4 linked regions of the Anolis sagrei genome follow. The protein of the gene in region 4 interacts with the protein of the main gene of each other region in a pairwise test. Links are inferred from orthologs where the notes say so. Each region holds a gene or a part of one and is shown on either strand. Other genes may lie near its edges. The genes, in order: C6H1orf35, FAM161A, RBM10 and CEP70.

Evidence for each region.
Region 1: the proteins of CEP70 (region 4) and C6H1orf35 interact in binary tests that used the Homo sapiens proteins (3 or more experiments, as listed by UniProt). The two-hybrid records come from large-scale screens. The link is inferred for Anolis sagrei from reciprocal best matches to the Homo sapiens genes CEP70 and C1orf35.
Region 2: the proteins of CEP70 (region 4) and FAM161A interact in binary tests that used the Homo sapiens proteins (3 or more experiments, as listed by UniProt). The two-hybrid records come from large-scale screens. The link is inferred for Anolis sagrei from reciprocal best matches to the Homo sapiens genes CEP70 and FAM161A.
Region 3: the proteins of CEP70 (region 4) and RBM10 interact in binary tests that used the Homo sapiens proteins (3 or more experiments, as listed by UniProt). The two-hybrid records come from large-scale screens. The link is inferred for Anolis sagrei from reciprocal best matches to the Homo sapiens genes CEP70 and RBM10.

Annotation. Positions count from the first base shown.
Region 1 is NC_090026.1:127,925,542-127,932,728, reverse strand, and holds the start of C6H1orf35 (multiple myeloma tumor-associated protein 2), read right to left. Parts: upstream 3,018-7,187; 5' UTR 2,935-3,017; intron 1-2,934.
Region 2 is NC_090021.1:151,972,042-151,979,580, forward strand, and holds the start of FAM161A (protein FAM161A), read right to left. Parts: upstream 3,013-7,539; 5' UTR 2,874-3,012; coding exon 2,745-2,873; intron 1-2,744. Other genes in the region: CCT4 (T-complex protein 1 subunit delta), read right to left, coding at 6,765-6,779, 7,012-7,125. UniProt on the Homo sapiens protein: Involved in ciliogenesis.
Region 3 is NC_090022.1:193,516,459-193,523,294, forward strand, and holds the start of RBM10 (RNA-binding protein 10), read left to right. Parts: upstream 1-3,821; 5' UTR 3,822-3,999; intron 4,000-6,836. Other genes in the region: NDUFB11 (NADH dehydrogenase [ubiquinone] 1 beta subcomplex subunit 11, mitochondrial), read right to left, coding at 580-771. UniProt on the Homo sapiens protein: Binds to ssRNA containing the consensus sequence 5'-AGGUAA-3'. May be involved in post-transcriptional processing, most probably in mRNA splicing. Binds to RNA homopolymers, with a preference for poly(G) and poly(U) and little for poly(A).
Region 4 is NC_090021.1:218,659,148-218,666,194, forward strand, and holds the start of CEP70 (centrosomal protein of 70 kDa), read right to left. Parts: upstream 3,011-7,047; 5' UTR 2,908-3,010; intron 1-2,907.

The sequences.
Region 1 (7,187 bases), on a different chromosome or scaffold from region 4:
CTCATCTTGTTGTGTTTCTAATAATAATAATAATAATAATAATCTGGAAAAGATGACACGATATGAGGATTTAAAGATCGAACTGCAAAGACTATGGCACCAGCCAGTCAAGGTGGTCCCAGTGGTGATCGGCACACTGGGCGCAGTGCCTAAAGACCTTGGCCTGCACTTAAACACAATTGGCGTTTATTATTATTTATTTATTTACCTTACTTATATACCGCTGTTCTCAGCCCGAAGGCGTTGACAAAATTACCATCTGCCAGCTGCAGGAGGCCACCTTACTGGGATTTGCATGCATTATTCGCCGATACATCACACAGTCCTAGACACCTGGGAAGTGCCCAACGTGTAACCAAATTCGACAGCCAGCAGAGTGTCTGCCGTGGACTCATCTTGTTGTGTTTATAATAATAATAATAATAATAATAATAATAATAATAATAATCTGGAAAAGATGACACGATATGAGGATTTAAAGATCGAACTGCAAAGACTCTGGCACAAGCCAGTAAAAGTGGTCTCAGTGGTGATCGGCACACTAAGTGCAGTGCCTAAAGACCTTGGCCTGCACTTGAACACAATCGGCGCTGACAAAATTACCATCTGCCAGCTGCAGAAGGCCCAAGCGGATGGGGAACCAATTCATTTCAAATGGCATGGATATTTATTGGATAGGCTACAAGATGATATCACGGAAAGGAGAACCACATATACTCATGGATCTATTAAGGAGGACTGGGAGTCGAAATGGATATATATATATAGGTAAAGGTTCCCCCTGACATTAAGTCAAGTCGTGTCTGACTCTGAGGGTTGGTGTTCATCTCCATTTCTAAGCCAAAGAGCCGGCGTTGTCCATAGACACCTCCAAGGTCATGTGGCCAGTATTACTGCATACAGCACTTCTTCTTCTTCGGCGATCCCTCGTTGGACGAGTAAGATGGTCTTCCTTGATGACTATTTTTGTGGGTTTGTAGGTGGCTGTGGGGCCCTATTCTTGACCCGCATCTTCTCCCACAGTGAAGGCATTGGTTTCCAGGTGGAAGGTGGTCCCGGTTGGGGTTGGCTTGATGCGCCTTCCTTCTGGCACGTTTCTCTTTCACCATCCACTCGTGCCTCCTTGAATTCTGCAGCACTGCTGGTCACAGCTGACCTCCAGCTGGAGCGCTCAAGGGCCAGGGCTTCCCAGTTCTCAGTGTCTATGCCAGAGTTTTTAAGGTTGGCTTTGAGCCCATCTTGAAATCTCTTTTCCTGACCTCCAACATTACATTTTCTGTTCTTAAGTTCAGAGTAGAGCAACTGCTTTGGGAGACAGTGGTCATGCATCCGAACAATGTGGCCTGTCCAGCGGAGTTGATGTTGGAGGACCATCGCTTCAATGCTGGTGGTCTTTGCTTCTTCCAGCACGCTGACTTTTATCCACCTGTCTTCCCAAGAGATTTGCAGGATTTTCCGGAGGCAGCGCTGATGGAATCGTTCCAGGAGTTGCATGTGACGTCTGTAGACAGTCCACGTTTCGCAGGCATATAGCAGGGTTGGGAGGACAATAGCTTTATAGACAGGCACCTTGGTATCCCTACAGATGTCCCGGTCCTCAAACACTGTTACCTTCCTGCCAAGGCGGTACCTATTGATCTCCTTACATTTGCATGTTTTTGAAACTGCTAGGTGGGCAGAAACTGGGCGTTGCAGCGGGAGCTCACCCCTGCTCTCCAGATTTGAATCGCTGACCTTTCAATCAGCAAGTTCAGCAGCTCAGCGGTTTAATCCTGTGCCACCAGGAGCCAATATATATGTGTGTGTTGTGTGTGTGCATATATATATATACACACACACATACACTAGCCACCCCCTGTCATGCGTTGCTGTTTTGTATTGTTTGTTTGCTATTGCTTTATTATTGATGTATTGCGGGCTCGGCCTCATGTAAGCCGCACCAAGTCCCTTGGGGAGATGGTAGCGGGGTATAAATAAAGTATTATTATTATTATTATTATTATTTGCCAATACACCACGCAGTCCAATACAACAGGCAGCAGAGTGTCTGCTGTGCACTCATCTTGTTAAACCCCTGTGCTGACAAGACTGAAGACGCAACAGGTTGCAGATTCGACTCCGGGGAGAGCGTGGATGAGCTCCCTCTATCAGCTCCAGCTCCTCATACGGGGAAATGAGAGAAGCCTTCCACAAGGATGGTAACACATCAAAAACATCTGGGCGTCACCTCCGCAACGTCTTTGCAGATGGCCAATTCTCTCACGCCAGAAGCGACTTGCAGTTTCTCAAGTCACTCCTGACACGACCAAAAAAAAAAAATCTTGTATTTTGAATAATAATAATAATAATGCACTTTATTTTTTGCCTGCCTCTCTGCATGGCTTGAGGCTGTGGGCTTAAAACGCAGAGTGAAAACACAATACTTTGGAAATGCACATACATAATAATAAACAGAGCAAAGATGGACACCAATGCTAACAAAATGTAAAGTTAGCATCCACTGATAATAACAACTTGCTGCGTTTTTGCTTATTGCATTTGGGTAGCAATTGTATTGCATTTCAGTGGCAATTTTGCAAACTGCAAAATCTTTATACAAGTGAATATCATTTAAACAGATTGCAAAGCTGGGCCAAAACTAACAACAACAATTTGAACAGGGAAAAATATCTAAAGGTGCATCTACACTGCTGAATGAATGCAATTTGGCACCACTTGGAACTATAGCTCTATCTTATTCCTATAGCTCAATGCTAGTTTTGCAAGGTTTTTAGTTTTCTCTGCCTGAATCCTCACTAAACTACAACTCCCAGGATTCCCTAGCACTGAGCCCTGGCAGTTCAAAGTGGTGCCAATCTGCGTTTATTCTACAGTGTAGATGCACCCATTTATGCATGATAGGAAAGTGAAATGGGGGAGAAGGGGTGCACTTACCAGGAAGGCAAACTTTCCCAGCAGGATCCTAGCTGCAAAGCTCCCTCCTTTTGCAAACTCACGTGCTGCTGCAAACAGGAAGAGCCTCCAGCATCCACTTCCGGCAGATATGGGAGAGACCATTGGCTGCAAAAATATAGGGACAATGCAAGGGAGGGTTTCTCTTGAGAACGTTTCCCAAGCTTTTGCACCAATGCATGATGCAAAAAGTGCACAAGGTTGATGCACAAATGCATGAGTGTCCATGAGGCAGAAATGCATGTGGATGATGGTGTAGAAATGGTGTACATGATGCACAAGTGCATAGATTATCAGAGTACACAAATGCATGAGTGTCCATGAGGCAATTATGCATTATGCAAAAAGTGCATAAGGATGCTGAATATGCACAAATGCATGACTATCCATGAGACAGAAATGCATGTGGATAATGGTGTGAATGATGCACCAGTGCATAGATTATCAAGATTCACAAATGCATGAGTGTCCATGAGGCAAACATACATGGGAGAGAGGCATGATGCAAAAAAGTGCATCAAGATGCTGAAGATGCGCAAACACATGAGTATCCACGAGACAGAAATGCATGTGGATGATGGTGTAGAAATGACATGCATGATGCACAAGTGCATAGGTTATCAGGGTAAACAAATGCATGAGTGTCTATGAGGCAAACATGCATGGAATGATGCAAAAGTGCATAAGGATGCTGAAGATGCACAAATACATGAGTATCCATGAGACAGAAATGCATGTGGATGATGGTGTAGAAATAGTGTACATGATGTACAAGTGCATAGATTATCAGGATACACAAATGCATGAGTGTCCACGAGGCAAATATGCATGGGAGAGATGCATGATGCAAAAAATGCACAAGGATGCTGAAGATCAACAAATGCATGTGTGTCCATGAGGCAGAAATGCATGCAGGTGATGGTGTGGAAATGGTGTGCATGATGCACAAGTGCATAGGTTATCAGGATACACAAGTGCATGAGTGTCCATGAGGCAAACATGCATGGGAATGATGCATGATGCAAAAAGTTCATACGGATGCTGAAGATGCACAAATGCATGTGTCCATGAGGCAGAAATTCATGCGAACGATGATGTGGAAATGGTGTGCATTATGCACAAGTGCATAGATTATCAGGATACACAAATGCATAAGTGTCCAAGAAGCAGAAATGCATGTGGATGATGGTGTAGCCATGCATGTGGAAGATAGTATATACAGATATACTATCCAAGCTCCCAAGCTCCCAAGCGCAGACTCCAAGGAAGGAAAACAAGGCGCAAAATGAACACCCAAGCCCTTCAGGAGCCCTCCAGACGAGCTCATCTCCAAACAGCACTCAAGGACCCTCTACCCACAGAACACCCCGAAAATGTTGAGGAACATTGGAACAAACTGAAGACCTCCATCATCCAAGCCTGCGAAGAAACTATTGGATACCAAGCCAAGAAACACCAAGATTGGTTTGACGAAAATGACATCGAGATCCAACAGCTAATCGACAAGAAAAGGAAAGCCTTCCAAATATGGCAGAGAGACATCAACTGTGCTGCTAAGAAAAAGATCTATGCCAGTGCAAAAGCTGAGGTCCAAAGAAGGACAAGAGAACTCAAGAACATCTGGTGGACAAAGAAGGCTGAAGAAATCCAACACCTGGCAGATACCCATAATGCTCAAGGATTTTTCAAAGCCACAAAGGTCATCTATGGACCAAGAAACCATGGCATACAGCCTCTACGCTCATCAGACGGAACCAAACTCCTGAAGGACCAAAAGTCAATTGCACTACGTTGGAAAGAACACTACCAAAGCCTCCTAAACTGCAGCTCCAATGTGGCCGAAGAGGTCCTCTCACAAATCCCGCAACAACAAACCAGAGATGAGCTTGCAGCACTGCCTAGCTTGGAAGAAGTCAGCAATGCCATCAGCCAACAAAAGAATAACAAAGCCAGCGGACCGGATGGGATCCCTGCTGAAATCTTTAAAGAGGGAGGACCCGAGCTGACACACCAACTCCACCAGCTCATAGAAAAAGTGTGGGTGACCGAGAAAATCCCAGCAGACTTCAAGGATGCCACCATCATCACCCTCTTCAAAAAAGGGGAAAGAACAGACTGCGGAAACTATCGAGGTATCTCCCTTCTAACCTCAGCTGGGAAAATCCTCGCAAGAATCCTTGCAAACCGCCTTCTGCCCCTCTCAGAAGACACCCTCCCAGAATCCCAGAACGGCTTCCGCCCCTCCAGAGGAACCGTGGACATGATCTTCACTGCAAGACAGCTCCAAGAAAAATGCAGGGAACAAAACCAACCTCTGTACATGGCATTCATCGACCTTGCAAAGGCATTCGACACAGTGAATCGCAGCGCTCTCTGGACCATCCTCCACAAAATCGGGTGCCCTAACAAATTTGTGAACATCTTGCGGCTCTTCCATGATGACATGATGGCAACAGTCTTGGACAGCAGTGGCTCCCAAAGTGACCCATTTAAGGTGGAATCGGGTGTCAAACAGGGATGTGTTATTGCCCCAACTCTATTCTCCATCTTTATTGCTATGATACTTCACCTTGTTGACGGGAAGCTTCCCACCGGAGTGGAAATAATCTATCGGACAGATGGCAAGCTGTTTAACCTCAGCAGACTGAAAGCCAAAACCAAGGTCACAACAGCATCTGTTATAGAACTCCAGTATGCTGATGACAATGTCGTCTGTGCGCATACAGAAGAAGATCTACAAACCACTCTAAACACCTTCGCAGAAGTATACACGAAGCTTGGCCTGTCACTGAACATCGAGAAATCCAAAGTGCTGTTCCAGCAGTCACCAGCCGTCCCCTCTCCAATGCCAGAGACACAGCTTAATGGTGTAACATTAGAAAATGTCGACCATTTCCGCTACCTTGGCAGCCACCTCTCCACCAAAGTCAACATCGACGCCGAAATACAACACCGCCTGAGCTCTGCAAGTGCAGCATTTTCCCGAATGAAGCAGAGAGTGTTTGAGGACCGGGACATCCGTAGGGATACCAAGGTGCTTGTCTATAAAGCTATTGTCCTCCCAACCCTGCTATACGCCTGTGAGACGTGGACTGTCTACAGACGTCACATGCAGCTCCTGGAACGATTCCATCAGCGCTGCCTCCGGAAAATCCTGCAAATCTCCTGGGAAGACAAGCGGACAAACGTCAGTGTGCTGGAAGAAGCAAAGACCACCAGCCTTGAAAGGATGGTCCTCCAACATCAACTCCGCTGGACAGGCCACGTTGTCCGGATGCCTGACCACCGTCTCCCAAAGCAGTTGCTCTACTCCGAACTCAAGAACGGAAAACGGAACGTTGGTGGGCAGGAAAAGAGATTTCAAGATGGGCTCAAAGCCAACCTTAAAAACTCTGGCATAGACACTGAGAACTGGGAAGCCCTGGCCCTTGAGCGCTCCAGCTGGAGGTCAGCTGTGACCAGCAGTGCTGCAGAATTCGAGGAGGCATGAGTGGAGGGTGAAAGAGCGAAACGTGCCAGGAGGAAGGCGCGTCAAGCCAACCCCGACCGGGACCGCCTTCCACCTGGAAAAAAATGCCCTCACTGCGGAAGAAGATGCAGAGCAAGAATAGGGCTCCACAGCCACATACGGACCCACAAGGAAACCCATGATGGAAGACCATCTTACTCGTCCAACGAGGGATCGCCTAAGTAAGTAAGTAATACAGATATATGTGTTTTCTTGCATTTTGGGATTTGTTGCACTATCGGTGCTTTCAAAAACTTTCAAAAGAAGTGCCTTCTGGGAGATGGTGATGGTATATAACTAAAGTTTCAATTCCCTTTTAAAACTGCATCTCCCTCATTATTATTATTATTATTATTATTATTATTATTATTATTATTATTATATGGTGCACAAATGTGTGAGAATGATGCATAATGCAAAAAGTGCATAAGGATGAAGATGCACACAAATGCAGAAGTGTCCATTATGCAAAAATGCACATGGATGATGGTGCACAAATGCATGTGGATGGTGGTGCACAAATGCATGATTATGGTGCATCATGATACACAAATGTGTGAGAATGGATGATGAGGATGAACAAGTGCACCAGTGTCCATGAAGCATAAATGCATGTGGATGATGGTGTTTTACCCACCTCTCCCCATGGCTCATGACTTTGAATTGTGCTCGGAAGCTAATAGGCAGCCAGTAGAGCTGGCGCAGCAATGGCGTCGTGCGCTCCCTG
Region 2 (7,539 bases), about 67 Mb from region 4:
CGCAGAATATTAATGCTGAAGATTCCTTTTTTGATGAACAAAAAATTAATCGGAAAACAATTCAGCATTGATTACATTTCAAGTAAAATCTATAACTCTGAATATAAATATGGTTATATTAAACAGTAACATGCTTCTAGTAAACATATTTTAATAGAGATTTTAATTATTTATTTAATTATTAAAACTAAGTGTTTCAGGAAATTTCAATTACGATTTCAACCAGTTTGATCACAATTAAATCAACTGTGCCTAGTACATCAACACTGTACGAACCCAGGCCACACAGCTCTTATCAGGTTAGAAAAAGCATCAGCAGCTAAATGAATTCTGGTCTCTAAGCTCAGGCTTTTTCCTAGTTGTACAACAGGGAATAAATGTGTGGTTTTCCTAACTTGCCAAATGTACAAGTAGGCTAGCAAAGCTTCAGTTATGGAACTGGGACATCTTCATGTCCTGTGTCTGATTTTTTAAGGAAAAAAGGCTGAAGGGGCAGCATTACATGGGATCTGCCGTTTATTTGTTTAGGTAGCATTGCGATATATATCATACAGCAGAGCTTTCCAAACATTTCATATCAGTGACACACTTTTGAGACATGCATCATTTTGTGACACGGAGATTCAGTTTTATAGCAACCTGTAGGTTAAACCTTTTTATTGAAACTTTTTTATTCGGGCAGGGTTTTTAAAAGGAAGGCTTTTAAAATCAGGTCAGAGGGTTGCTGTGGCTTTAGTTTTGAATACATGTTTATCTGTTTTAAGGATTTAAACTATTAATGTTTATTTCTATTTTAATGTTTGTATATTTTTGGATTTTAAAATGTACGGAAACGCTTTCAAGGTCTCCTTTGAGTCTCCTTTGTGGAGAGGAAAAAGTGGGGTATAAATAAACATCATCATCATCATGCAACTTCTTAAAAGAGATACACACATATATAAATTGTAATAAAAATGTATGGGGACACAACTTATCTCATGAAATTCCTTTTATATGTGTGTGTGTGTGTTTAAAATATATGATTTATTGCTTATTTCACAGAGACTCATAGCACACTAGAGCTGAAAAAGTAGGCAAAGAATCTGCACCCCGTCTGAAATCCTGTGTCTGCTTCCTGTTGAATCAGGGGCTTCAGGGGACTCATATGTGTTCCCCGTAGGTCCATGTCATTGTTGACATTTATATATTGACTTGAAGAACTCTCTACTGTGGTAAATTGACTATTCAAGGATTTCTACACTTGTATCAACTACCACCTGAGGAAGACGCCACATAGTCAAAACTGGTTGTGGTTTATGAACTGTGGACTTCAAAAAAGGGCTGACAAACCTTGATTTGCTGCTGACAAACATTGTTTTAAAAAATGACTTATAAACTTGTGCATTCTGCTGTAGGAATCAGATGTTTATCCCACATTAGGAAATTTTTTGATTCAGAGACTTGCAAAGAAAGGACTTAAAAACTTTGATTGGTTGTTTCTAAACTTGTGATTTTCAAAAAGGACTGATAAACTTGTGCATTTTACTGTAGGAATCAGGTGTTTATCCCACATAAAGGATTTTTTTGGTTTAGAGATTTGCATTGTGTATCTCGGTTAAGTATACTTTGTACAAGCTGTTAGTACATTGAATGTTGTAGTACTACAGCACAGATCTAATGTACATTCTCATGATTATATAACTGCATTACTTTTTGTGTATAGTAGCCTTTTGCCCTTGTGCTTCAGGGGAGCCCCCGATGGCACAGTGGGTTAAACCCTTGTGCCAGCAGGACTGAAGACCGACAGGTAGCAGGTTCAAATCTAGGGAAAGTACAGATGAGCTCCCTCCGTCAGCTCCAGCTCCCCATGTGGGGACATGAGAGTAGCCTCCCACACGGATGGTGAAACCTCAGAAACATCCAGGCGTCCCCTGGGCAACACCCTTGCAGATGGTCACACCAGAAGTGACTTGCAGTTTCTCAAGTCGCCCCTGACATTAAAAAATGAGGCTTCAGGGGAGGGGCCTTTAAAATGCTGTCAGAGGGGCACTGGGTCTCCCTAAACTACAAGCCTCAAAATCCTTCAGAAGGCAGCCACAGGATTTCAGATAGGATGCAGACTCTTTGCTTACTTTTTCAGTTTTAGTGTGATACTGGGTTGTTATAGGTTTTTCGGGCTATATGGCCATGTTGTAGAAGCATTCTCTCCTGACGTTTTGCCTGCATCTATGGCAGGCATCCTCAGAGATTGGGAGTTTTAGTGTGATACTTTGAGACAGGTGGGGCATAGGAACGAAATTCAATGTAGAATATGCTGTAGCTGGAAAGAATAAACTGCAGGTGAAGATGTGTAAGTAGATGCAGGACCTGTGATTAATGGGGCTCTATGGGATTGTGAGTTAGGCTCACATTGGGTTGTAGGCTTTTCGGGCTATATGGTCATGTTGTAGAAGCATTCTCTCCTGATGTTTCGCCTGCATCTATGGCAGGCATCCGCAGAGGTTGTGCTTATAGAACTTGGCCATATAGCCCAAAAAACCTACAATAACCCAGTGAATCTGGCCATGGAAGCCTTCGACAAGACATAGGCTCACATTTCCACTACTCGAAAGTATCCTAAGATCAATACAATTATTTCAGGTGGGATGCAGGCTCTTGGCCTAGTCTTTCAGCTCTAGTAGGGCACGGCGACCTTGTCAGGCAGGACGTGTGGGCCTGTCCTGGCTTCCCTCTGAGGCTGAGAGGGTGTGCTTTGAGGTACCCACCTGCGGCCAGGCTCCGTCCCCCCGCTCCCGCTCCCGCTCGTACAGCGCCGTGGGGGCCTTGGTGTGAGGGTCCACCGGCCTTCGGAGGCAGGACACAGCGAGGGAAGCGGCCCGGTGACCCGCATCCATCCCGCTCCCCGCGAGCGCGCGACTGAATGAAAGCCCTCGCTGGGTTACCAAGGCGCCCGGCTTGGGACGCTACGGCATCTCTTAGGGAACACAACACCTTCGCTAACGGCCGCGCGGACAGGACTCTCCTGAGGGCGGGGCCTCCAGGACAATTGTGCGCACGCGCCGAAAAGAACCGCACGTCGCCCATTGACAGAACTAAACTACATTGACCTCCAGCTGGCCCCATTCATCCTCTGTTGTCCCACTTTCTTATCTCTCCTCCCAATTTCCCTCCCTCCTTCTTCATCTTACTGCAGCTGCTGCAGAATGAGTTCAAAGCCTTCCAGGTAGGCCCCCATAGCCCAGGATTTGGCCCCGGTTTTTCTGTTTATCCCAGATTATCTGGCAGTGTGGACTCATATAAAGGTAAAGGTTGTCCCCTGACATTAAGTCCAGTCATGTCTGACTCTGGGGTGTGGTGCTCATCTCCATTTCTAAGCCGAAGAGCCGGCGTTGTCCATAGACACCTCCAAGGTCATATGGCCGGCATGACTGCATGGAGCGCAGTTACCTTCCCGCCGGAGTGGTACCTATTGATCTACTCACATTTGCATGTTTTCGAACTGCTAGGTTGGCAGAAGCTGGGGCTGACAGCGGAAGCTCACGCCGCTCCCTGGAATCGAACCTGCGACCTTTTGGTCAACAAGCTCAGCAGTTCAGTTCTTTAACCCACTGCGCCACCGGACTCATATAATCCAGTTTAAAACAGAAAACCTGGGATCAGATTCTGGGATATAGGGCCTGTCGGGAAAAAACCCTTATTTTGCCTCTTTTGACTCAGGAGGAGTGCAAACTCTTGCCCAAGCAAAAGGGAAGCATGGATTATGCTGTAGAGCATACTCAGAAATTGTATTATTGTTTTAGCTGACGGTTTTATGTTGCGATGTTTTTAAGATGATGTAAACTGCCTAGGGTCCGCCTGAGGAAAGGTGGCATAGACATTTCCTAAATAAATAAATAAAAGGCAACTGCCTTCTCTCTTTGCTTGGGTTCCCCTCATTCAATAACCTTTGCCATCTTTACCATAAATGTATTGTCAAAGGTTGGAATCACAGGGTTGCTGTGAGTTTTTCAGGCTGTATGGCCATGTTTCAGTAGCATTTTCCCCTGACGTTTCACCTGCATCTTTGGCTAATGGCATCTTCAGAGGTTCTGTTGGCAGTGAAGCAAATGGGTGTGTGTGTATGTAGGGAATGCCCAGGGTGGGAGAAAGAACCCTTGTCTATTTGTTGCAGTTTGCAAGCTCGATTAGCATTGAATAGCTTTGCAACTGCAATCAATTAGTGAGAGTATTGTTGTCTGGAGGCATCATTTGGGAGGTAATAACGGGCACTTGGTTGTTTGCTGTCTGGAGTTGTTTTCTTTTTTAAAATATTTTTATTAGTTTTGAAAATAATGCACTTAAAAGGAGAAAGAGAAAGAAAAAAGAGAAAGAGGGGAACGGGGGGGGGGGGGCTGAAAGGGAGAGGGAAGGGTTGTGACTTAGTGATGAGTTGAGGTGTAAAGAGAAAGAAAAAAAGGGGGGTGCAGGATTGGTGGATGGAGGAGCATTTGTAGTCTTCATATTCTGTCCCGTAGGTTGATGGTATTTTTCCTTATCATTTTCCTTGTTTTCTGTCCTTGTATCTTTATTCTTTCTTATCGGATTCTTTCTTCTATGAAGTTCTTGACTGTGGTCCAATCAGTCTTCTCTTGTTTTCCCTTGATTGTTTCTAAGGTTGTGTGTAAGATAGTCCATATTCATAATTTCTGTAACTTTTATTATCCAGCCTTCAATACTTGGTGTGTCTTTCTCTTTCCACTTTTTAGCATATGTGATTCTCGCAGCCGTAGTCAAGTAGCTAAATAATTTTTCCAGTATAGACAATTAAAAGAGGCATTCCAGAGACAAGAAAATTGGATTTGAAAAAGAAAAATCATGGGATAAGAACCTGATCTCTAAAAACAAACTAATTTCCAGAATTTACAAAATATTACTCGCTTGGTCAACGGAAAAAGAACATAAAAGAATGCATGGTGAGGTGGGCACAAAACATCGGCCACAATATATGTATATCAGAATGGGAGAGCATATGGAACATCACACTAAAATACACAGACTCCCATGATCTATGCGAGAAGTGGTACAAGATGATGTACCGCTGGTACATAACTCCAAGCAAATTATCCAAATGTTACAAGAACATGTCAGATAAATGTTGGAAATGCCATTCTCAGGTGGGTTCCTTTTTCCACCTCTGGTGGTCATGTAAAAAGGCAATTAAATTTTGGAAAATGATACTCATTGCAATGGAAAAGATTATTGGCCAACCCATAGAACTGAAACCGAATACGTCTTACTAGGAATTGTCGAGTTCTCCTGTTTTCAAGTGGTGTTTCTTTATTTACTGTATTGATTATGGTGTTTTTAATACTGGTAACCAGAATTTGTTCATTTTCATGGTTTCCTCTGCATATTTGTGGATTTCAATGGCTTGTGGATTTCAGTTACCATAAATGCTGTCACAGCTGTCCTGGTTTTCATCTGAAATGTTGGGACATAGCTGTGAATTGGTGGCAGTTGGTAACTAGTCTCAAAGCTTAGTAAGAGAAGATTCTGTGCTATTCAAAAATTGAGATTTATTGAGTAGGGAAAATGAGTTACAGCCATTTCTCAGGACTTGGTGGCCAGAGGAGTCTTCCATTACACTCCTGTATATTAAGAAATACATCCATATGCATGGCAGAGCAGCTACCTTTACTCCCGCTGGCATGGATGGGGAGCAGGGATGTATGGTTATCATGAGCCCATATGAGGGATTTGTGTGCTGTCTTACAGTCACTTTGTACTGTATTTTAGCATTATAATTCTTGCAATTCAAAGGAGCAACATCTGCACCTCATTATCTTTAGGCTGGAGCTACACTTACTTCCTATTCACAAATAATCCATTAGTACTCTGAATCCGTTTTAGTTTTGCTTACAGATATTGCTACAAGCCACAAGTGTCCTGAAAAACCATCTGTGCATGCCGTTTCTCCTCACAAGTTTGAAGAACCCTTATATGTGCCTCTGGGATATGTGACTTACTATTTAGATACCCGCATTTCATCACATAATAGTCTCCATTGCAAAAAATGGGCTTTTTTCACTGTGCAACAGTTGCCACCACATAATAATCACACACCTCTTTTTTTCACCTTGCGTCTTAGAACAGAGACAGCAGTACTGGGTTTGGACAATCTTTTCGCAGCCTCACTGTATCCAAATTTCTAGGTGTTACAAGAAGTGACCAACACCTACTATTAAAAAGACATTGCCTTTAACTACCAATTTGGGATAAAAATGTTGCATGTCTTGTATTTTCTTCAGAATACCGTTCTTAACATGTGTCAATCCTGTTCTTAGAAACTATTATTAGATTTATACGATACAACATTTAATTATACCTTCAGTGAAATACATGCTAGATTTAAAAGTACCAATTGCTGACAGTTAACAGCTGACAGATACGGTTACAGCCCAAGACATGACATAAATAAAGCCCCACAAATTAAGTCTCACTAATTTCAAAGGATGTGAAATTGCTTAAGTCTCTTCAGCCACAATAGTAGAGTTTAAAGGTAGACATGGTCTAGCAAAGTGTAAAGCAGAGCTTTTGGCAATCAATGCAATATGTGTTCAAGTATTTTGTTATATAAAAAAATTAAAACAAAGCCTTTCAAATTTGAGGTTTTATTAATTTAAATTGACAAAAGTACGCCAGTGTAACTTGGAATTAAGCAGATGTCCAACACAGTTTGTGTGAAGACGTCATGTTAGAAACGTATGACATGTTGCTGACCTGTGCTTTCTTTTCCTTTAGACCTTTCATCGAGTGTTTACCTGCAAAAAATGAGAGATTATTGTATGACACTTCATCACTATATTACTTATTTAACATTATTCAATATAATTTCCACTAATAATTACAATGCCTCTTTGAATCTTAACTATTTCATCAGTTGTCATTAAACACTCAGCATTTCAACACTGATGCAAGGCAGTAACAGATCTGTGAAATGTAACAAAGTAAACATTTGAGAGAACATTTTATGAGTATTTAAACTATGCTTACCACATCGTCAATCTTCAGGATGCTGCGTACGGTTTCTGTAGCCAGGGTGAGAGCGCTGACAGATACCAACAACGGTTGGACAACCAACTCCTCAAGGATATTGGAAATTCCACCCTACAATGTAAGAACTGCCACTTTAGTTTATTAGAAATGACAAGCAGAAAATCTATTGTCAATACGTATTTCTCAGTGGTCTCATTATGGAGTAGGAGAAGATGAAAAACAAATAAGCCCAAGTGCACAACCTATTAATAAGGTAGAACATTTCTATAGCAATTCCCTAAAACTACAGCTGGCAGTTTTCAAGTTAAGTGAAGTTTTTTTTAAGTATTTCATATCTAGGATAAAATTTTGGTAACAAAAGAATCTGGACTATATGCAACTACAGTATCTTATTCAGTTCCAATTTAAGTTGTTACATTTCAGTTTGCATAAAAAAGTTTGAGAACATCCATATACCTGAGGCAAGTGCTCTTTAACTGTTTTCAAACAAGAAGCATATTTGTGAGAGGGGGCTAACAAATGAAA
Region 3 (6,836 bases), on a different chromosome or scaffold from region 4:
TGGCCACATCATGAGAAGAAAGGAAAGCTTGGAGAAGAGAATGATGCTGGGGAAGATTGAAGGAAAAAGGAAGAGGGGCCGGCTAAAGGCAAGATGGATGGGATCCTTGAAATGACTGGATTGACCTTGAAGGAGCTGGGGGTGGTGACAGCCGACAGGGAGCTCTGGTGTGGGATGGTCCATGAGGTTATGAAGAGTCGGAAACGATTGAACGAATGAACAACAACAAATCACTACAGCTGCCCTTCACTTTGGGTGCATACATGTTCCTCATATCTATACTCCTGACACACAGAGCTTAGAAGTCATTATATACACACTAAGTGTTTTTAAAGAGAATGACAACGTTTGTGGCCACTGAAGAAAGCAAAGCTGTGACTGTCTCAGCCAGCCTCGCAATATCACCCCGAGTAAGACAGGTGGAGAGCTGTAACTTTGGCCTCTTAGAGGGACAACAGCTAGGGATCCGGAGCACTGAGCTATGCCAGTTGACTGGACTGGGCTGCATCACTCCTCCCCCTTTTCTCCCCTCATAGGCTTCTTCCCCTGCCCTCCTCTCTCTCTCTCTCTCCTTCTCACCTTGGCGAAGACGGGGATCTCCTCGTCGTGGTCGTGGAGGGGCCTGGGGGCCAGGTGCGAGGGGACCGGAGCCGGGGGAACCTGCACCGAGGCCGCCGAGCGAGACTTTTCCCCTGAGGAGACCCCGCGGGCCGAAGGGCGGGCCAACCTCAACCACCTCTGAAAGCCCGCCAGCCGCCTCAAGGCCGCCATGGTCGGTCGGCTCTGCCGCCGGAATTCCGTCGCCCGCTCGCCGGAAGTTCCTCTCTCGTTCGCCGGAAGTGGAAATCTTTCGCGCTTCTCCCTCTCAGAGAGCTAGCGCCAGAAAAGGACCTGAAGGCGGAAGCGAACTTTGCGAGCCCTTTCAGGTTGAAGTTAGGCGTCACGAAGTTGGTATCAAACTGCATTAATTATACCGTGTAGATCAGGTATGAGCAAATTTGGGCCCTCCAGGTGTTTTGGACTTCAACTCCCACAATTCCTACCAGCCGATAGGCTGGTAGGAATTGTGGGAGTTGAAGTCCAAAACACCTGGAGGGCCAAAGTTTGCTCATACCTGGTGAAACACACCCGAGGGGAAAGCATGGGTAACTGTCCCTTTAAGGGAGGGAATCGCCCCGTTTGGAGTTCTGCCTCCCCATCAGACTCACACTTGGAAACTTAAGAGCTGGCAATACATTTATCTTACATTCACCACAAGGTCAGTATTGCTTTTTTTTTCTATCAGAAGAAACAACAGTATCCAAAAACCAAAATATCCCTTGCTCTGGCCAGAGACTGACACTAGTTTACAACTACTTCTTTCCATGGGATCGTATGGTTCTGCATGAAAGCCTATAAGCAGTGGTTCTCAACCTGTGGGTCCCCAGGTGTTTTGGCCTACAACTCCCAGAAATCTCAGCCAGTTTACCAGCTGTTAGGACTTCTGGGAGTTGAAGGCCAAAAACATCTGGGGAACCCAGGTTGAGAACCACTGGATATGATACAAGTGGCAGGGAACCATGGCATAATCTATCTATATAAATAAAAATGTAATGTTCGTTTGTGGGATTAACATAACTCAAAAACCACTGGGCAAATTGACACCAAATTTGGACCCAATGCACCTATCAGGCTAAGGAGTGAACATCACTCATAAAAACACTGAAAAACACAGTAGAAGGGACTTAAAAGGCCACAAAATAAAAAATACATTACAATGCATGCACAAAACCACATATTTATATGCAAACACATATATATACACTAATATATACACACATATACGCAACACGTGGCAGGGGATAGCTAGTCTATATAAATTAAAATGTAATGTTTGTTTGTGGGATTAACATAACTCAAAAACCACTGGGCAAACTGACACCAAGTTTGGTCACAAGACACCTACTAACCCAAGGAGTGACCATCACTCAAAAAATTGATTTTGTCATTTGAGAGTTGTAGTTGCTGGGAGTGATAGTTAACTTAAAATCAAGGAGCATTCTGAACTTCACCAACGATGGAATTGAACCAAATGTGGAACACAGGACTCGCATCACCAACAGAAAACACTAGAAGGGTTTGGTGGGCATTGACTTTGAGAGTTGTAGTTCACCTACATCCAGAGAGCACTGTGGACTCAAACAATGATGGATCTGGACCAAACTTGGCACAAATATGCCATATGCCCAAATATGAACACAGATGGAGTTTGGGGAAAATAGACTTTTGGGCATTGTAGTTACTGGGATTTATAGTTCCCCTGCAATCAAAGGTTAGTGCTTGGATAAGAGACTACTGTTGGCTGCATCCCAAAGGAAGGGACAGGCAAAACCACCCTTGAGGATTTATTATTTATTTTATTTATTTATGACATTTATATGCTGCGTCTTACAAGTTATATATACAGAGCGGCTTACAAGTTATATATACATACAATATTATATTATTAGCATAGCACAATATTAGTATTATATATTAACATTTTGTACTATACCGCTATACTGTAATATCATTAGTAACATTACATGTAATATAATGTAATATTGCATTCTTCTTATTATTATTATTAGGACACTGAACTTCCACGGCTCAGTGTTGTGGAATCGTGGGAGTTGTGCTTTCAGAGGAGGGTGACTAAAATGATAAAGGTTCCAGAGAACAAGCTCTGTGAGCGGTTTCAAGAGCTGGGCATGTTTAGCCTGAAGAAGAGAAGGCTGAGAGGAGACATGATAGCCATGTATAAATGGCTATCACGTATAAATGGCTATGCACGAAGTCATAGGGAGGAGGGAGCAGGCTTGTTTTCTGCTGCCCTGGAGATTAGGACTCGGAGCAATGGCTTCAAAGGACAGGCAAGGAGATTCCACCTGAACATTAGGAAGAACTTCCTGACTGTGAGAGCTGTTCAGCAGTGAACTCTCTGCACCAGAGTTTGATGGGGGCTCCTTCTTTGGAGGCTTTTAAGCAGAGGCTGGATGGCCATCTGTCAGGGGTGCTTTGAATGCAATTTTCCTGCTTCTAGGCAGAATGGGGTTGGACTGGTTGGCCCATGAGGTCTCTTCCAACTCTAGGATTCTATGAGACATGAGAGGAGCTGTGTATCAATATGTGAAAGGGTGCCATAAGGAGGAGGCAGCAGGATTGTTTTAGGACTAGAACAATGGGCCCAAATGACAGAAAAGGAGATTCCACCTGGACATGAGAAAGAACTTCTCAGAGCTGTTCAGGAGTGGAACTCTTTCTCTGCACTGGAGTGTGATGGAGGCTCCTTCTTTGGAGGCTTTTAAACAGAGCCTGGATGGCCATCTGTCCAGGGTGCTTTGAATGCGATTTTCCTGCTTCTTGGCAGGGGGTTGGACTGGATGGCCCATGAGGTCGCTTCCAACTCTATGATTTTACGTGGTTTCAAGCCTTCTCTGTCAAAAATTCCAGGATTCCATAGCACAGCCCTGGGCAAACATCTGCCCTCCGGGTGTTTTGGACTTCAACTCCCACAATTCCTAACAGCCGGTAGTTGAAGTCCAAAACACCCGGAGGGCAGAAGTTTGCCCATGACTGCCATAGTAGTTAAAGTGCTGTCAAACTGCAATCAATATAGACATTGAACTCGGGAGGCGGAGACTTCCTTGTGACCACTTGGATTAAAGCGGAAGCGGGGAGCGATGATAGACAGCCGCCTTTGACCAATCCGATTGCAGAGTGGGCGGCCGCTGCGAAATATAAGCGGCCAATGGGCGCACTCGGCTTCCCGTGACGTCAGTGGCGAGGGAGGGAGGGAAGGCGGTGGGGGCTCCGGTGTCACCGACGACGAGGAAGGAGAGCGAGAGGAAGCGAGCCTCAGAGGCCGCGACGCCGCCATTTTGCGAGGCGGGCGGCGCAGGGCGAAGCAGGCCTCGCTCGGGGCGAACCTCCTCCTCCTCCTCGCCGCCGCTCCTGGCACCAGAGGGAAGCGAGGGCCAGGTGAGAGAAGGCGGAGCCGGCCTCAGGCGCCACAGGGAGGCGGGGCTTCTTGGCCGTTGGGCATCACGCCCTTCTGGTCGCTGTTTAGTTAGGGCAGGCATCCTCAAACTGCGGCCTTCCAGCTGTTTGGGCCTCCAACTCCCAGAAGCCCTAATGAGCTTGTTCAATTGTAAGAAATTCTGGGAGTTGAAGGCCCAAACAGTTTGAGGATGCCTGAGTTAGGGCCTCAAAGAAGGCAGAGAAAGGAAGCCTCGCAGCCCGGCTTTAAAGAAAGGCCAACGGGTTATTCGTGTCTGCGGAGGGCCGTCGAATGAGTGCAATCGACGCCCCTTGAATTGCCTTGCTGAGGAACTCTGGGAGCTGTAGCTCTACTTCTGGCTTCTCTGCCTCACCAAACTCCAAATCCCATGGGCTTGAGCCATGGCAGTTAAACTGCGTTATTTCTAGAGTGTAGATGCACCTAAGTGCGCTTTCGAGTTGGCAAAGATAATACAAAAACAGTTATGAGAGAGCACTGATTCTGCACTGTAAAATTAGCACAGTTTGATGCTGCTCTAACTATTAGGGAACCTTGGAGTTGTTCTTTAGCCTTCTCCGCCAAATAATCATAGAGTTGGAAGAAGAAGAGAAGAAGAAGAACAACAACTTTGGGTTGTTGTAGTTTTTCGGGCTATATGGCCATGTTCTAGAGGCATTCTCCCCTGACGCTTCGCCTGCATCTATGGCAAGCATCCTCAGGGTTAGTGAGGTAGTCAGACCTCACTACCTCTGAGGATGCTCGCTACAGATGCAGGTGAAACGTCACGAGAGAATGCCTCTAGAACAGTGTTTCTCAACCTTTCTAATGCCGTGACCCCTTAATACAGTATCTTATGTTGTGGTGACCCCCAACCATTTTGTTGCTACTTCATAACTGTAATTTTGCTACTGTTATGAATTGCAATGCAAACATCTGATATGCAGGGATTTTTTCATTTACTAGACCAAATTTGGCACAAATACCCGAAACGGCCACATTTAAATACTGGTGGGGGGGGGGGGGGTTGATTTTGTCATTTGGGAGTTGTAGTTGCTGGGATTGATCGTTAATCTTCAATCAAAGAGCATTCCGAACTCCCTCGATGATTTTTTTTTTGTCGTGTCAGGAGTGACTTGAGAAACTGCAAGTCGCTTCTGGTGTGAGAGAATTGGCCGTCTGCAAGGACGTTGCCCAGGGGATGCCTGGATAATTTGATGTTTTTATCATCCTTGTGGGAGGCTTCTCTCATGTCCCCACATGAGGAGCTGGAGCTGATAGAGGGAGCTCATCCGCCTCTCCCTGGATTCGAACCTGTGACCTGTCAGTCTTCAGTCCTGCCAGCACAGAGGTTTAACCCACTGCGCCACTGGGGGCTCCATTCCATCAATGATGATGGAATTGAACCAAACTTGGCACACAGAACTCCCATGACCAACAGAAAATACTGGAAGGGTTTGTTGGGCACACACCTTGACTCTTGGAGTTGTAGTTCACCTACATCCAGAGCACTGTGGACTCAAACAATGATGGATCTGGACCAAACTTGGCATTTATACTCATTATGACAACATGTGAACACAGGTGGAGCTTGGGGAAAATAGAACTTGATGTTTGGGAGTTGTAGTTGCTGGGATTTATAGTTGACCTGCAATTAAAGAGCATTTTGAACCCCACCAACGATAGAATGGGGCCAAACTTCCCACACAGAACCCTCATGATCAACAGAAAAGACTGTGATTTCTGATAGTCTTTGGTGACCCCTCTGGCACCCCCTCACGACCCCCCCCCCAGGGGTCCCAACCCCCAGGTTGAGAAACGCTGCTCTAGAACATGGCCATATAGCCCGAAAAAAACCTACAACAATCCAGTGATTCCGGCCATGAAAGCCTTCGATGATACAAGAGGAACTTTATTTTTCTACCCCGCCTCCATCTCCCTGAAAGGACTCAGGGCGGCTTACATGGGGCCAAGCCAAAGCAATAACAAATAGAACAGCACAAAACAGCATAACTATAATAACAAGCATCAAAATCAACAACAGACTGATTTTGGAGGGGGGGGGGAGGAGGACCACTATGCGAATTGGTTAAAGAATAAGGTGGTTGAATAAGGTGGATAGAAACGTATAATAGCATAGGAAATAATGTGGAAACAGAGCGATTTAACAGGATCAGTTCAGCTTAACTTAAACAAATATATAGTAATGTAATATAGGAATTTAGAATCAGGTCATGATACAAGTCATTTGTCATAGGAGTTGTCAGTCGAACGTACAACAAAACATCCACATCTTTAATTCCTTACAGAATGTGTGTAGGGAGGGTGCCAGCCTAATCTCCCTGGGGAGGGAGTTCCAGAGACACTGAGAATGCCCTCTCTCTCTCTCTCTCTCTCTCTCTCTCTCGTCCCCAGCAACCGCGCCTGAGACAGGGGTGGGAGCGAGAGAAGAGCATCCCCAGAAGATCTTAATCAGTTAAAAACCACAGCACTCCCTGACTAATCTTAAACACCCCTGAATTAGAGTCACACTCTCTCCATGGCTGGCCCAAAATGTTTTGCTGTCTAGGGTCAAGAACAAAATGTTGGTCTCCCTGTAATTCAGCATTTCATATGCAAACTGTCTGGCAGTTGTTGTTTTGTGCTTTAGGTCTGACATCCTCAAACTGTGACCCTCCAGCTATTTGGGCTTCCAACTCACAGAATTTCTGACCATTGAACAAGCTGATTAAGCCTTCTAGGAGTTAGAGGCCAAACAGCTGGAGGGCTGCAGTGTGAGGATGCCTGCTTTAGACAGTTTCCAACCTATGGTATCCGTAAT
Region 4 (7,047 bases):
ACAATGATTCTTGACTATAAAATGAGTGCCACTAATGAAATCCTACCCTTCTCAATAGAAACAAAGGTGAAATAACGAGCAATCTGTGTGAGACAATGCAGTTTTTCCAAGTAGGATTGCCGGAGTGGAAACTGGAGATGGCTCTTCTACCTTTCGTGACTGTGTTTGTTGTTATTGAATATCTTCAAAACTTTTTTTGGACCTATGGGGATCCTAAAATGAACCGATTACAGTGTTCTTTTGGTAAGATTTGTTCAGAGGGTATTTGCCATTGCATTCCTGTGAGAGTGAGAGAGTGTGACTTGCCCAAAATCACCCACTGGGTTTCACAGTTGAGGATACAGACCCTGGTCTCTAGAGCTTTAGTGCAATGCTCTCACCAGTATCCCACATTGGCTCTCTCATGGCTGTTTCAAGGAGATTTCTGAAGTGGTGGTGACTTGGTTGTGTGAAAAGTTACGCCTTCAACACAACCACAAAACACCTCACAACCTCTGAGGATGCCTGCCATAGATGTGGGTGAAACGTCAGGAGAGAATGCTTCTGGAACATGGCCATACAGGAGTCAAAGCCTTGTGCCGATAGGATTGCTGACCCACAAGGATGGTAGAACATCAAACATCTGGGCGTCCCCTTGCTGATGGCCAATTCTCTCACACCAGAAACAACTTGTAGTTTCTCAAGTCACTCCTGACATGAAAAAAAATGGCCATACAGCCCAGAAAAATCACAGCAACCTAGAGATTCTGGCCATGAAAGCCTTCAACAATACACAAAACGTTTGTTTAATCTAGCTGTCATATTATTTCCAGGTGCATGTTAAAATATTCTCATTTTCATACTCTTCTCAAGTGAATACAGTCATATTCTGTACTTACAAGACCCGTGGGAAATCAAAATGTTCACCAAATGCAACAAAATGACATCAACTATTATTTGTTTGCAAAACAATTCAAACAATGTGCTTTTTGTAAACATTCCCAGTAGAAATAAGGCCGAAATAATCCACGTAAAAACAACAAATCCTCCCAAGTTAAGTCGTGTACATGGTAGAAGAGGGAATTTCAGAAGCTTTGCTAGCTGGTTGTGTTAAAAGCAAATCCTTGTGGCAACTCCTTCTACACAACTACCAAAAAAAGGTTTGTTTATGTTTTTAGGTGTATACTATAATGTTCTGTACTTGAAAGGCCCATGGTGTAGCAAAGTATTCACCAAGTGCTTTGCAAACACCATGCAATAAAGCCTCCCATGGTGTGCTGCCAGAGTGAAGTCTCCACAGCAGGCATGGGCCAACTTGGGCCTGCCCTCTAGGTGTTTTGGACTTCAACTCACACAATTCCTAACAGCCTACCGGCTGTTAGGAATTGTGTGAGTTGAAGTCCAAAACACCTGGAGGGCAGGCCCAAGTTGGCCCATGCCTGCCATAGAGGATCCTGTGGCTTTCATGGCTCTATGAAAGCAGTGACATCTCCGGCCCATCCCATTCAGTTATCAGCCAGCACGCCAATGCCTTAAATCAAGAAATAGTTTTCTAAGATCTACAGAAATACTCGCAGGAACACCTCAGCAAGCAAGAGTCCAAAAGTGGCAGGCAAAAACCTGGAACCTCAATCCTTGGCTGATACCAAATGAGAGACTCCCACCTTGGGCACACAGAAGACTAGGTGACTTAGAAGGCGCTGAACAGACTTTGTTTTGGTACCACGAGATGCAGAGCCAATCTTAAGAAATGGGGCTACAAAGTGGAGTCCATGACATGCGAGTGTAGAGAAGAGCAAACCACAGATAATGCAGTCTGAGCCCTGCCACATGCACAATGGAGGACCTTCTTATAGCAACACCAGAGGCATTCCAAGTGGCCAGCTACTAGTCAAAGGACATTTAATACAACGCAAAGTTTTTAAACTTCGTGTTGTTTTAAAATACAAGTTCTGGCCCAACTTATCTGTCCGAACGCATCTCCCCTTATGAATCCTCTAGGACTCTAAGATCATCTGGGGAGGCCCTGCCTTCGTCACAAGTACGTTTGGCAGGGACAAGAGACAGGGCCTTCTCAGTGGTGGCCCCTTGGCTATGGAATGCCCTCTGTAGGGATATCAGATCGGCCCCTTCCCTTTTAACATTAAAAAAAAAACCGGGAGACTTCGCTTTTTGAGCAAGCGTTTGCAGATGCAATATAACAAACATAGGAAAAATGGAATGATGCTATTAACAATGCTTTTAACAAGGAGACTCTAATTGATATATTTTTTTTATTGATATTGACTATTTTAATTGGTTTTATATTTAAGCTAATTGATTTAATCATGTTTTATGTTTTTGATGCTGACTGTAAACTGCTCCGAGTCACCTGCAGGCTGAGAGGGGCAATATAATAATAGTAATATAGTAAATAATAAATAAATATAGTAAAATATATTTATTTATTAGATATATATATATATATATATATATATATAAAAATAATAAATATAGTAAATTATTATTTACTATAATAATATAGTAAATAATAAATAACCAAACTGTACCCTTGGTTCGCTCCTGATATAATAAAATAGATGGCTGTGTAGAAGACTGAATCCCCTGGCTGTGTGACAACCATTCAACCAACCAAGTCTGCATCTCTACAAGCGACACTACTTTACTTGCCATGGCTCACAGCTATGAGGTCCTGGGAGCTGTAGTTTGGTGGTTCCCCAGGAGAGAGGGCTGGAGCCTTTGCAGAACTACATCTCCCAGCATGGAGCCATGACAGTTAAAGGGGACTCAGATGCATTCATTCTGCAGTGTATGCAGCCAAGGAGAGGGCGTTTAACACAGTTAAAGGGGTATCAGATGCATTCCTTCCCTTTCAGTGCCTTCCTCCCTGCTTAATTCGCATCATTCTCCTCTTCTTGCGGTACATACCGGGGCCTGGGCTCCTTGCCTCGGTCTCAGAAGCCGTTATAGGCGGGTCTCCAAGGAAAGAAGGAGGGGTGAAGGGAAGGAAGGAAGGGAAGAAAGAAGGAAGGGGAAAGCAAGAAGGAGAGAAAAGCCCGCCCCAGTTTCCGCCCCAAGGAGGGGCTTGAAGGCATCTTTGTATTTCAGAGCCGACTTGGGCAAAGAAAGGAAAGCCCAATGCCTTCCTCTGAAATAGCTGCCTGAGGCCTCCCCTCCAGTACTAACCAGGGCTGCCCCTGCTTAGCTTCCAAGATCAGCCAGGATCTACTGCCTTGAGGATGTTTCAAGTGACCCAAGAAGTTATGGTGACCTCATGAGTCTCATAGGCATCTTCAGAGGTTGCAAGGTCTGTTGGAAACTAGGCAAGTGGGGTTTGTTTACTCTCAAATGTAAATGTTGCAATTGGCCACCCTGATTAGCATTTAATAGCCTTGCAGCTTCAAAGCCTGGCTGGTTGCTGCCTGGGGGAATCCTTTATTGGGAGGTGTTAGTTGGTCCTGATTGTTTCATGTCTGGAATTCCCCTGTTTTCATTGTTCTTTATTTACTACCCCCTGATTTTAGAGTTTTTAAACTTTCTCTGGAAAGTTAAAATGCTGCCAAATTGCAGTTTAGATGCATGCTTAAGGCGCATTAGTGTATAGAGTTGTGCTGAAGACAAGCGGACAAATGTCAGCATGCTGGAAGAAGCAAGAACCACCAGCACTGAAGCGATGGTCCTCCACCATCAACTCTGATGGACCGGCCATGTTGTCCGGATGCCTGACCACCGTCTCCCAAAGCAGTTGCTCTATTCCGAACTCAAGAATGGAAAACACAATGTTGGTGGACAGGGAAAGAGATTTAAAGACGGGCTCAAAGCCAACCTTAAAAACTCTGGCATAGACACTGGGAACTGGGAAGCCCTGGCCCTTGAGTGCTCCAGGTCAGCTGTGACCAGCAGTGCTTTAGGATTTGAAGAGGCATGAATAGAGGGCGAAAGAGAGAAACGTGCTGTAGTAGGATGAATGCGGTTCGACACCACATCAACTGCTACGGCTGAATGCTGTGGAATCGTGGGAGTTGTGATTTGGTGAGACCCCAGCCCTCTTTGGCAGGGAAGGCTCAAGGCCTTGTCTAATAACCTTTAGAAAGGAACTGAAAACATGGATGGGGAAGCAGTCATGGGCAAACTTGGGCCCTCCGGGTATTTTGGACTTCAACTCCCACAATTCCTAACAGCAGGGAGGTTTTGAGGTCTGTTGGAAACTTGGCAAGTGAGATTTATATATCTGGGGAATGCCCAGACACGAATCAATAATCATGCTAGGCACTGCAGACTAATTCAACCTGAGAAGTCAGCCATAGCAGAACACCTGATGAACCAACCTGGACACAGCATATTATTCAACAGAAAGGAGGAAACCATGAAAATGAATAAAATCTGGCCACCGGTATTTTAAAAACTCTAAAATTAGGACAGTAAATAAAGAACAGCACTCAAACTACAAGAAAGGAGATTCCATCTGAACATGAGGAAGAACTTCCTGACTGTGAGAGCCGTTCAGCAGTGGAACTCTGCCCCGGAGTGTGGTGGAGGCTCCTTCTTTGGAAGCTTTTAAACAGAGGCTGGATGGCCATCTGTCGGGGGTGATTTGAATGCAATATTCCTGCTTCTTGGCAAAGGGTTAGACTGGATGGCCCATGAGGTCTCTTCCAACTCTTTGATTCTTTGATTCTATGAAAAGCAGGGGGATTCCAGGCATGAATCAATCAGGGCCAGCTAATCACCTCCCAACAAAAGATTGCCCCAGGCAGGAAGCAGCCAGGCTTTGAAGCTGAAAGGCTAATCAAGGTGGCCAATTGCAACACTCACACTAGCCTCCAACAGACAAGAGTTCTTTCTCCCACCCTGGACATTATTCCACAAATGTATAAACCCCACTTGCCTAGTTTCCAACAAACCTCTCAACCTCTGAGGATGCCTGCCATAGATGTGGACCAAACGTCAGGTGAGAATGCTTCTGGAACATGGCCATACAGCTCGGACAACTCACAGCAACCCTCTTCCCAGTCTGGTTTTGGACTTCATCTCCCAGAATGCCCGGCCATTGGCGGTGGCAGCGGAGGCTTCTGGGAGTTGAAGTCCAAATTCCTGAAAGCCTCGAGCCCCTGCTTAATGGGCGTTTCCAGAGGGGGCGGGGCGAGAGAAGGGGCGGGGCCTGCTGGGGAAAACTTCCGGGGATGAGGACTTCCATCCGTCCGCCTCGGCGGGTGCGTTGCTGGGCAGAGGGGCCACTCGAGGTAGGCCCCGCCGCCATTTTGGGAGGAAAGGCGAGGAGGGTGACCCCAGGGAGAGGAAAGGGAAGGAGGAGGCGGCCTCCTTGCTCTGGCTCTGGGCAGAAGAGACTGGGAAGCACTGCAGGCTCCGTCCCGAGGAAAGGCCTCGTTTCCGGGAGACTACGAGATTTAGAGGGCCAGGTAGACCCGACCCTCCCTCCCCCCCCCTTCCTCCTCCTCCTAGAGAAAACTTCCCCCTCGTCCAGTTTGACACCGCTTTAACTGCCATGGCTCAATGCTGTGGCACAGTGAGATACTCTGTAGTTCCTTTCCCTGCCAAGAGTGCTGGTGCTTCACCAAACTACACATCCCAGAATTCAGTAGCATCAAGCCCTGGCAGAGGAAGTGGAGTCAAACCGCATCAGTGTGATTTGCACCCGTTGAGTATCCCTTCTTCGAAGTGTTTGTGGGGACCAGAAGAAGTGTTTGGGATTATTATTATTATTATTACTCTTTTTCTTCTTTCTTCCTTCCTCCTCCTCCTCCTCCTCCTCCTCCTCCTCCTCCTCCTCCTCCTCCTCCTCCTCCTCTTCTTCTTCTTCTTCTTCTTCTTCTTCTTCTTCTTCTTCAATATTTTGGGAGATGGGACCCAAGGCAATAAACACGGAATTCATTTATGTGCCAGTAAACAGCTTCTGAAATGCTGTTATGCACCATATTTTATATCATGGAACTCAGTTAATAATAATAAGTGCCTAAAGACCTTGGCCTGCACTTAAACACAATCGGCGCTGACAAAATTACCATCTGCCAACTGCAGAAGGCCACCTTACTGGGATCTGCACACATTATTCACTGATACGATATGAGGATTTAAAGATCGAACTGCAAAGACTCTGGCACAAGCCAGTAAAGGTGGTCCCTGTGGTGATCTGCATACTGGGTGCAGTGCCTAAAGACCTTGGCCTCCACTTAAACACAATCGGCACTGACAAGATTACCATCTGCCAGGTGCAGAAGGCCACCTTACTGGGATCTGCACGCATTATTTGCTGATACATCACACAGTCCTAGACACTTGGGAAGTGTCTGACGTGTGATCCAATACAACAGCCAGCAGAGTGATCTTGTCTGCTGTGGACTCAGCTTGTTGTGTTTCTAATTAATAATAATAACAACAATAACAAATTTTAATTTATATCCTGCTTTTCTCCCACAAAGGGCCCCAGAGTGGCTTCCAACATATTAAATACAGTACAAAATAACAGTTTCATTAGAAAACAAAGGTGTCCCTGGCTCAGCCACCCAGGTGGATAATTTTGGAGCGTTTTGTATTTTTGGATAAAGGGATACTCAACTTGTGTCAACTGTCAAATGCTCATATTCCTACTTCATCCAAAAATATGTAGGAAGTGTCTTTTAGGTAGCTAAAAAGACCGTAGGAAGCTCGCCCAGTTTATGTGATCCTATGTGTTTGTGTTCATGTTTCGGTATCCTAGAAACAAAATCCTACTTTTGTGTCCTCAAATCATACCGTTCTTTTGAAAGTGAGGAATCTACCACCGTAATCTCCTTTCTGTAGATGTAAAACTTTTTTTTATTTCAGCATGAAAGAATGTGACAAAAACAAACGCAGTGATAAGTGTTTGGTATTTCATATTAATCAAGAATATAACAAATACAGAAACATTACTTTAAAAAGCACCACTTGCCGAATTTGAATCTATGTAGATTCACTTTCATTCAGTTTATTTCAAAATGCTGGTGAGCTCTATGCAGAAATATCTAGAATACCTTGAATAAAAATTGAACTAAATACATATGAAATATTTTCCTACATGCTTTTGGC